Kluyveromyces lactis: one gene and its partners. The protein of the gene in region 1 purifies or fractionates together with the protein of each later gene. This does not show direct contact. Links are inferred from orthologs where the notes say so. Each region holds a gene or a part of one and is shown in the gene's direction. Other genes may lie near its edges.

Region 1 (2,909 bases):
GAAGAATGCACGGAACTGGTGTTACAACCTGTGTGATCATATTGACGGTCAATATATCTAGATCACCTTTAACCGGAGACCTTATGGTCACGTGATATTCATCCTATATTGCAATAAATGATACCACCTCACAAGAGAAAACACAGAGCGATGCACTTAGAAGCACGGGCTCTCCAAGATAGCTGTCCTGTTGTTACAGATGGTTACACCCTACTAAACCCCCGATTTTGAAGTGACACGGCTGTTCAATCGCCGGTAATTCCTTGTGTCAGTTTTCCAGACGTCAAATTGAACTGAATTTAGATCCCAGCCACAAACGTTTTAATAGAGAACACGACATAAGACGTTCTCCAACCGTTCAAGGTCGAGATCTGAATCTAGATATTTAGAGAGAACGTCAGCTTCTACTGTACAGAGCTAAATCATATGAAGAGCTTATTGAATAAGCGGTTTTCGCCTAAACGTCGAAATAAACCAATCACTTACGCACCAGCTTCAGCAGCGAAACCTAAACCCAAACCCAAACCTAAACCCAAACAACTGGACCCACCAATGCAATCCGGTGAGAGCAGTAGCCAGAAAAGCAGCACTCCCATACCAATCAAGTCTATATTAAGACCTGTTGATGGCACGCACGAACATGAGAATAAATCTGTCCGCATTGTGGAATCTTCACCACATCCGGAGTCTGTTCCAATCAGCACACCAACTAGGATAATAGTAGGACCATTACCTGATGGAAATGTTAGTGACTCTTTGGTATATAATGCCAGCGATTTAGAAAAGGGTCATATCGGCGTCGCGGAGGAATCGTCACCGCTACTAGAATCACAGTTGCCTGATTTGACAACATACCAAACAATTTCCCCAGAGTCCAACCCCACTGCACAGATACATTGCTGGTCAACACCCTCGTTGCCAATTCCAATACCACCACCATCAAGCGATCAGCCATGTTCAGGCGACCCCGTGCAGTCACCCTCAATTCCCCCATCCAGGGAATCACCATTTACCAGTCCGTTAAGTCGGTTCTTGCAAATGCTATACGCAAGATATCCTGTCATCATAACTTATATCCTAATCACCATCTGTGTCATTGGGATAATATATTCTTTAGTAACAGGAACTGGTAGATCATATCTCTTGGTTATTATAAAGGCATGTATATGCTGGATAATGGGTACAGACGTGGCAAGAATGCTTTTTGGTACCCAGTTCTGTGATATTGAGTTTAAAGTGTCATGATGTTTCAGTACTGCAAGCTACACATTAAATACCATTAGCATAGCAATAAAGTTGATATAAATTGATATAATCTAACCAACAAATAGCACCAGAACCAGCCAATACACAGCACAGTCCGTTAACGGGTGATGAGCATTCTACTCGTAGTCCAGTGTCAGGAACAAAATCTTCAGCACGTGACCTCTATTTACGTATCATTTCTTTTCGAAGTGAAAAATTTGGACAAAGCGATGAGATGAGATGAGATGAACCACTGGAACTAGTCCATGAAGCAGGTCGTGTTACCGTTCTGTCAGTGTTTCTGTTCAATTGTGCATTGGATTAGACAAGTGGCAAGAGTTTACTGAGAAATATAACAATGGGTTTGAAGAAAGTTCTAGGTTCTGGTGCTGCACTGGTAGCGAAGAGACACTTGAAGTTCGATGATGATGCGGATGATTCATTCCATACAGCTGATGAGGGCAACTCTACCCTAGATGCTCTCAAACCAACAAAAGCAGAAGCGAATGGTGAAAGTGAAAGTGAGAGTGAGAGTGATAGCGATGCGCCAGAAGAAGAAGGCTTGAGTAGTGGGAAAGATGCTATAGAGAAAAGGATTCAGGAAAGAGAAGAGGCTGCAAGGTTACAAGAAGAGGCAGCTAGAGAGAAGAGACGAAAGAACGAGAAAGTGTTCAAGCAACAGCAGCTAGAGAAGAAGAAGAAGCTGCTCGAGTCTGAGGAGGAGAAACAGAGAGAAAAGATGTTAGAGTTTGAACGACAATTAGTAGCGCAGCAGGGTTCGGATAATGATGAGCCGGAAGAGTTACCACAAGAGTTCTTTGATGAGCTAGAAAGTGGATCTGCATCTTCCTTCGCAAAGGCTACGCCGAAACATATTACTTTCTCGGCAGAAGCGCAAAGAGAAGAAGAACAGGCCCTAAAAGAAGAATTACGGAAACAAAAGAAGAGATCACTAAGGGAATTGAGAAAGACCCAAATACAGAAAGGACCTGTCACTGTGAACTTGCTATCGTCGATGAAGGTATCTAAGACACTGGCTCCAAAAAAGGAAACCAGTGTCATGAAATCAAAGGATAAATGGTTGAAAAGAAGAAGTCTCAAACGTAAATAGAAGAGGATTTGTGCCCACATGTACCTATCTATTCAAATATACAGGTCTTTATACATGTGATTTGTCTCGTGTATAATGTATTATCTAAAAGAGGAGTTTCCTGATTGGCTTTAGCTATCATGAGGAGCGAAGAAAGAGATCATTAACGGGATAAAGATACCCAAGAGTAACAATCTGACATCTGGAAGTGATTCTTGTTCTATTTTCTCTTCAGTGGTAACACCTTCGCCCATCTCTAAAACAGAACCCGACACTGGGATCGGGCCATCATTCTGTAACTGTTGTTCCTGGTCCTTACTTGGTGAGATCAACGCAAGCAATGAAGCATACAATAAACTACTACCGCTCAGAACCAATAGCCCATCGCTCATTTTCTCGATTAGGTCCTTGCTGACGAATCTCATCAGGATCACGAATAGCAACCCGAACGGTGTGGATATACTGAATGCAATAAGATTAGAGATTACTTGTAGTTTGGGTAATCTCTGTTTCGAAATCATAATCCCCGTCAAGGAAAGCGTCGCAGGAATTTTATGTATAATAATGGCGATCA
Region 2 (3,760 bases), on another chromosome or scaffold:
GTTAATTTCAAGATGTTTGGATGCAGATCCATCCATTTCGACTTACGGAGATTTGGCATATGCAGCTTTTGGTCCAAAAGGTCGTGCATTGATCTCGTTCCTATTTGCTATGGATTTATTAGCATGTGGTGTAGCCTTGATCATTTTGTTCGGTGATTCATTGAACGCGTTGTTCCCAGAATATTCGGTCAACTTCTTCAAATTCGTCGCTTTTTTTGCAGTTACTCCTCCAATATTTTTGCCATTAAGTGTTTTATCAAATATCTCTTTGTTGGGTATTATCTCGACTATTGGAACTGCATTGTTAGTAGTTTTCTGTGGGTTGCTAAAACAATATTCACCAGGGTCATTATTGCAACCAGAAGCCACATCGATGTGGCCCAATTCATTCAAGGAGTTTTGTCTTTCCTTAGGGTTATTGAGTGCATGCTGGGGAGGTCACGCAGTCTTTCCCAACTTAAAGAGTGATATGAGGCATCCGGAGAAGTTTACTCGTTGTTTGAAGACCACTTATAGCATCACCATTGTTACTGATATCGGAATTGCTGTCGTTGGATTTTTAATGTTCGGTAATCTTGTTATGAATGAAGTGACAAGAAGTGTGTTATTGACTCCAGGATACCCGCCTTTTGTTTATGGCCTAATTTCAACTCTTCTTTCACTGATTCCACTTGCCAAAACACCACTTAATGCAAGACCGATTGTCTCCATCTTTGATTCAATGTTTAACGTAGTGCACATCGATGAAACTAAACCAGCATCGAAGGTTTTTTTCGCAAAGGCAACCAGAATATTTAACAGAATCATGGTGAATGTTATGTTCGTGATTATTGCTATTTTATTCCCTGAATTTGACAAAATAATTGCATTCTTGGGTGCTGCACTTTGTTTCATGATTTGTTTCATTCTGCCATGTTTGTTCTACAAAAGAATTTGCTACAAAACCATTAAATCTTGGGAATTGATAGCGTGTAATATTACGATATTAATTAGTGCAGTATTATCCACTCTTGGAGTATACGCCTCCTTCACCTCATGAATTACCTACAAATGCTGTTGAATTTGCCAGCACCTCATTCTTGTATATGCATCTACGTGTCTTTATGCAAAATTTTAGCACCCAAACTAAGGGAATCACACTTCATATAATGACTTTTCACCCATATGTACTTCTGTCTAGTATTCATCACCCAACCAATGCCTCACAACTGTGTCTATTATCTCTCTTCTTACCCGCATTGGCGACAGTTCCCATCATTTTTTTCTTTTTCAAATTTTTGGATACCTGAAAAATTGATGAAAACTCATCTCATCGCATCACTCAGCATGTACGAAATATGCGTCTATAGTAGCAGCTTGATCGTATCGATACATCCACTACAGCTACACCAGTAAATAGGTAACGTTTCACTGACCCACACATAACACAACATGAGTCAGTTTTTGGAAATTTTGAAAACTAATCCTGTTGGACTTCTTTCCCAGGATGCTCTGGAGTCCAAGGAACCACTATCGGCAGTGAAGACTTACTTTGACGAAGTCATCAATCTGAATAAAAACAATGGAAATTCAAAGACAACATTAGATGAGATAGTGGTTGATGGGCTAGATGCTAACCAGGTATGGTGGCAGTCAAAAATCATTTTAGATAATGTTCAAGGTGATATCATGGAAAAAATCGCCGAACTGAAGGTTGATAATGAGAATGATATGAGCGAGGAAAGCAGCGGAGACGAAGATGATGCCTCTAATGTTGAAAATTCCAATGAAATGTCTGCAGACGAAGCTCCAGTTTCTGAAGAGTCTGCTATTGAAGAGGAGGAGGAAGAAGCAGAAAATGAAGAGCTCGTTTTAGATGAAGAACAACAGTTCTCAGAACCAGAACCTTTAGAATTACATGAGAAGGAAGAAGATAAATTGGAAAACGAAAGTGATTCGGAACCTGATGATCAATTTGTAGAAGCACAAGAAAGTCCACAAGCGATCGAAGACAAGTTTGGTGTAAACGATCAATTTTTCAATCTAGATGAATTCAATAGACAAACACTTGAGGCTGAGAATAGAAGCCAAGATGCAGATGAAGAAGATGAGGATGACGAAGAAGTTGATTATTTCGCAGATGTTCCATCGGAGGAAGATGAAGAAGCTCTATATTACGACGATTTCTTTGATAAGCCATCTAATAAAAAATCTTCCCAGGACAGGCGGCCAGGACCTTCAAAGAAAGCAGAGGCCGAAGAGGATGAATCCTTTGACGAAAGCGAGTATGATGATGCAATGGAGGAAGCTAAGTTAGATCTTTTTGCTGACGAAGACGATGATTTTCAGGGATCAGATGAAGAAACTGCTGAACAACCATTATCTACCTTTGAACGTCAACAACTTGAGCTAAAAAGACAAATAGAATCCCTCGAAAAGGAAGCTGTTGCTGAGAAGAAATGGGCGTTAAAAGGTGAAGTAAAAGCTCGCGATAGGCCAGAAGATGCCTTGTTAACGGAAGATCTTGAGTTCGAAAGAACTGCCAAACCTGTGCCAGTTATAACAGCTGAGGTAACAGAAACTCTCGAGAATATGATCCGTAGAAGGATCAAGGAAGAAGATTTTAACGATCTACAGAGGAGGGTTATCAGCGATATTTCAGGCTACAATAATAAACCAAGATTCGAACTAAGTGATGTAAAGTCATCAAAATCACTAGCTGAAATTTATGAAGATGATTTCAAAGGTGTTACCGAGGATACTGAAATATCAGAAGAATTACAGAAAAGTCACGATGAAATTTCAGAGCTATATAAAGATTTGGTTTACAAACTAGATGCATTATCGTCAGCCCACTTCATACCTAAGCCGATAAAGAAAGATCTTGAAGTAAGAGTGCAAACCGCCGCTATTTCTATGGAAGATGCACAACCACTAACAATGTCAAGTGGTTCCACATTAGCTCCTCAGGAAATCTACAAAGTTGGTAAATCAGAGAACTCTAATGAAATAACTTTGAAGAATGGTGTGGTGATGTCCAGAGATGAACTGTCCAGAGAGGATAAAAACAGACTCCGTAGAGCTGCTAAGAGAAAGAGATCGAAGCTATCTGCGAAAAGAGCCGAACAACCTAGAAAGAAGAGTAAGACGGATGATGTTCTTAATACCTTGACTAAATCCAAGAACATAACCGTTATCGATAAAAAGGGTGCCAAAACTGATGTTAAGGGTAATATAAAGAAGGATAATGCATCTGGTAACATCAATTTCAAGTTATAGACACTGTTACAGTAAGTATATATTACTATAATTAATGCAATTGCATTGAAATGAAGGTGGTAAATAAGAGAATTCTTAATTATCTTTTTATCCCCCAAACTATTTATGTTCTTGAGATTTATGGAATAATGATCTTACACCTTTTACAACAGAAGGACTGTAATGCTTGACAAGAAGGCTATTTTCCCATATAGTTGCTGCTTCTGCATTACTTCTACTTGGTAAGTCTGTGTCGATGCGGAACTCCCCATTTCCAATTCTATCGTCTGTAGAGTATAAACCCAGTACTTCTGGATATTTGGTAGTTAGTTTATCCAAAAACTTCAGCAGTGCAATTGATGTTTTTTCTGGAGTGTGCAGCAAAGCCATGTAAATTCTCTTTGTGAACGCAGCAGCTCTTTGTTTAGTGCCAGATTTTGATCTGAAAAAGACATGATCAAGGGCTTTCAACAATAACTCTGCTTTTGTTGATACGTTAACTGATGGTTTGACGAGTTCATTA
Region 3 (3,760 bases), on another chromosome or scaffold:
AGACGTAGATAATTTGATCAAAGCATTCGAATCATGGACCAAATGTCAACTATCAATTGATCAAAGCAAGGCTGAAATGGATAGTTTGATGGTTAAAGAGTTCAACGCCAAACTATCTAAACTTATTGAAACTGATTTCAAGAAAGGTCACGAATTGCGCGCTAAGGTTCAAGATGCAAGATTGAACTTTGATACTTTACGTCATGAAATTAAATTGAAGCTGCAGGAAAAAGAGGTTGTAGCATCCTCTGAGGAAGCTGAAAAAAAGGTCGCAACTGAAACCCCTGAAACCCCCGAAAAGAAAACCAATGAGGAACCAGTTGATATGGCAAAGACAGAAGAAGATCCTGATTCTAAGCTTTTCGAACGATTAGAAGATCAGTTCGTGTCTGCAACCTCAGAAACTGTGGAATTCTTGGGAGAACTTACAGATAGTTCTGAGATCATTTCTTTGGTTAAGTTGTTCCATAATTTCCAATTGATCCATTACAAGCAATGTGTCAAGAGCTTAGAAGAAGATCTAGAAGTCCTTAACTCACTAGATTCTGAAGACAAATGAAGAAATCCACCTCTATATATCGTTAAAATAAAATAATTATTCATAATCAATCGTAAATATCTCATATGTAAATGCCCAATATACCTATTTTCCCATGCCTATTTGAACTCGCTATTCAATTTTGCATTAAACCGTTTATTCTTGTCATTAATAAATCCATCATCCAAATTGATCTTATTTTGTTTATCTAGTTTTTGTTTCCGTACCATATACCTTTTCTTTGATCGTTCGTTCAAATCATTCACCATTTTTTCTACTAGTTCAGGATTATCTTCTACTTGAACCTTCCCATCCTCAGTTATTCCACCTTTCAACGGATGTGATATATCCTTCGGAAGCGCATCTACTTCCTTCTTGTAGCTGTTCTTTGCTATAGTTTGGAAGTCCCCCATCACGCTTTTATTATGTCTTGAATTCTGTGTCTTAGCTTCCCATTTTTCATATTCGCGTATTGAGTAGTTTGCCAATTTTATCGGATCTTCTGGTTCGCTTTTGTTACTTCTAGCTTTATCTTCGCCATCGTCAGCCATACTGTATACTCTTCTTTCAGAGTTTTTCTTCTCTTCAGCTATTATGGCCTTCTTATTCCTTATACTTACTTCCACTTTTTGTTTCCGCAAACTCTTCAACTTTTTTTCAATTTCCATTAGATCATTCATCTTCGAATATTTATTATCAGCCTGTGTCCAGTTTACAATGTGATTTGTGGCATTCAAATAAGGGCTACACTTTCTGTCACCTGGAAGATATCTGAGTATATTCATCGCATCTCATCTTGTTTCTGTTTGCATTTCGACACTATATATTACCCGGACTGACTCCCAAAAGTAAAGTTTGAAAAATTTGAAGTACTCAGAAGAAGAGATGAGATGCGATGAGATGCGATGAGCTGTAAGTGCAAAGATACACTCAACCGCTGCTCTTGAAAGGACGAGGTGAAGTATCAAATATCCTGTGTTCAATACAGTTTGCTTTGATATTATTTATCGAAAGATATTGAGAAAATGGCATCCATCTCACAGCCTTTTAGGCTCTCTGCTCTACCTAAGATTCCATCATTGAATAATTATGCGAATCAAACAGACTACTTACAAGTTGTTGATAATCTTTCACCATCAGCCAATAAAGTGAATATTGGTATATCAGGTTCCAGTATATCACAATACTTGATTAATCCAACCCCGAAGCTGGTTTTTAACTTGCCAATCCCCTCTACGAACATTGTTACTGCATGTGACGTGGTAGAAGATGCAGCCAATACAGAAGTCTGGTGTTACGGATTGGAAGCTAGAAAGGTATCACATTTACACTTGGCTACTAAGCCGATGATTCAAGATGCCGTGTCATCTTCAAATGCTGAAATCACATCTCAGTTCAAATATAAACTAAAATCTGAAGTCGTTAGCATTAAGATCTATTCTAAAGCAGAGAAAGTTCTCGTTATCTTAAGGAATGGACTGATTCAAACATTTGATTATGAATTGAAACTTTCAAATACTATTGATATATCTTATGATGATATCAGATTTGTTCAATTCTTCCAAGATGGGCAGGGAAACGATTTCTTTTTCGTGTTATGCCAACTAAGTGATGAGAAAATCTGTTACAAACTTTTCCAAGTTAGGAGTGAGTCCGTCTCATGTATTGAACTAAATTCTATCATACTAGAAAATTACACTTTAGAGAATGCAAAGTTGTGTTTTGAGTTCGGGAAATTATATGTTTTAAAGAACTCAAATGAATTATCAATCTATCAGTTACCACATTTGCAACTACAAACTAGCATTCAGCTACCTTTCATTTCCAAGGATGCAGTTGTATCCATCAAACCAGTTTCTTCAAACCGTGTATTGTTGACTGCTGATAATACCATATATCTTGTGGATTTGTTATACAATGCTATACTATTCCAAAAGGATTTACAGAACATCAAAGCTATTCAACTACTCTCTACTGCAGTTGTTCAAGAAAACTCTGAAGACAATAGAAAAACTATAGCATTAGATGTTACAACTAAAAACGGTGCTAACCCTACGAGTTACTTGGATGTTATTAACATTGATGTTGGTACCGGTACCTTAAAAGATGCGATGGGTAAAGGGTTCATGGTTAAACAAAAGCAGAAACTACAGAAACTCTTTGAAGAAAGCAATGAGGACGACGATGTGGAATTGCCATCTCCAGACTATGAACGCATTATAAAACAACTCCATATCTGTAAAAAAATAGAGAACTTTGATTCTATATTTTTTAAGATGCTTTCCTTAGACAAGGAATATTATACAGACAATGACAGATTTTTAAATGATTCTGATTTACTCACTCAAATAATCGATTGCTTGTTTCTAAATTTCAAGGATGAATATCCAAAAGCATTGACATACCTTCTAACACACCCTTTATTCCCACCGGTTCACGCTAAGGGCTTATTAACCAAGTTGAAAAATAACCCAAGACTTTTCAAACAAGCTATTGTTACTTGTCCGAATGTTCCACTTGACGATTTGTTAACCGAGCTTTTCAATATAACGAATGCAGAGCTCTGTTTTGATATTACGCTAAGAGTGCTACAAGATTACAAGAAAGAATCAATCAAAGCAGGTATAAGAAAAATTGAGAAGATGGATATCACAAACTTTTTGGATATGATTTTGAACTCGAATAAGGCAGATTCGGACTTGAAACTTAATAAGCCACAAATCTTCCAACTTATGAGTTTAATAATAGATTCCATCGGTTTGTTTGCGTTAGACGATGAATATTTAGAGAAACTTTCCTCTTTTGTCGATGCGCAGGTTTCTGTAGTGTCACAAAACATAGAACTTTTGCATTTGGCAGAGCATTACACCAAGCATTCATCGGTTGTTAACAATAAATCTAATTCATCAACAAATTCGTCTTCTACACAACCTATTTCAGCTTACACAGTGGACTATTTAGAATGCTAATAAGTGTGTAGTATAATCATAAACATTAGAACTTTTCGTAAAATGATTTCATCAGCTTTCCATATTGAACTGGAACTGAATTACCTCTTTTGGATCCATGAAAGAGTATGTTTCACAATCCTCATCACTTTCATAAATCACATGCTCCTCGTACGTAACTCTGTTATCTTTGTCGACAAGTATGACAATCTGGGATCTAGTTCCATAGTAATCGCCTATTGGCAATGAAGTTCCAATAGCGTCTGCACCTTTA

The links.
Region 2: the proteins of BUD21 (region 1) and MPP10 purify together in Saccharomyces cerevisiae (affinity purification with mass spectrometry, with the first as the bait; 4 studies listed by BioGRID). This does not show direct contact. The link is inferred for Kluyveromyces lactis from reciprocal best matches to the Saccharomyces cerevisiae genes BUD21 and MPP10.
Region 3: the proteins of BUD21 (region 1) and UTP8 purify together in Saccharomyces cerevisiae (affinity purification with mass spectrometry; 3 studies listed by BioGRID). This does not show direct contact. The link is inferred for Kluyveromyces lactis from reciprocal best matches to the Saccharomyces cerevisiae genes BUD21 and UTP8.

What each region holds. Positions count from the first base shown.
Region 1 is NC_006037.1:682,559-685,467, reverse strand, and holds BUD21 (Bud21p), read left to right. Parts: upstream 1-1,603; coding exon 1,604-2,356; downstream 2,357-2,909. Other genes in the region: KLLA0_A07645g (uncharacterized protein), read left to right, coding at 427-1,245; Mn(2+) transporter ATX2, read right to left, coding at 2,467-2,909. UniProt on the Saccharomyces cerevisiae protein: Functions as part of the small subunit (SSU) processome, first precursor of the small eukaryotic ribosomal subunit that coordinates the first two steps of ribosome biogenesis in transcription of the primary transcript pre-RNA and pre-18S processing.
Region 2 is NC_006040.1:821,797-825,556, reverse strand, and holds MPP10 (rRNA-processing protein MPP10), read left to right. Parts: upstream 1-1,431; coding exon 1,432-3,258; downstream 3,259-3,760. Other genes in the region: AVT1 (Avt1p), read left to right, coding at 1-1,039; NOC3 (Noc3p), read right to left, coding at 3,358-3,760. UniProt on the Saccharomyces cerevisiae protein: Involved in nucleolar processing of pre-18S ribosomal RNA. Required for the early cleavages at sites A0, A1 and A2 during 18S ribosomal pre-RNA processing.
Region 3 is NC_006041.1:412,620-416,379, forward strand, and holds UTP8 (Utp8p), read left to right. Parts: upstream 1-1,563; coding exon 1,564-3,507; downstream 3,508-3,760. Other genes in the region: KLLA0_E04621g (uncharacterized protein), read left to right, coding at 1-559; SYF2 (Syf2p), read right to left, coding at 658-1,323; KLLA0_E04687g (uncharacterized protein), read right to left, coding at 3,559-3,760. UniProt on the Saccharomyces cerevisiae protein: Involved in nucleolar processing of pre-18S ribosomal RNA. Also has a role in nuclear tRNA export. It acts between the steps of tRNA maturation/aminoacylation and its subsequent translocation out of the nucleus.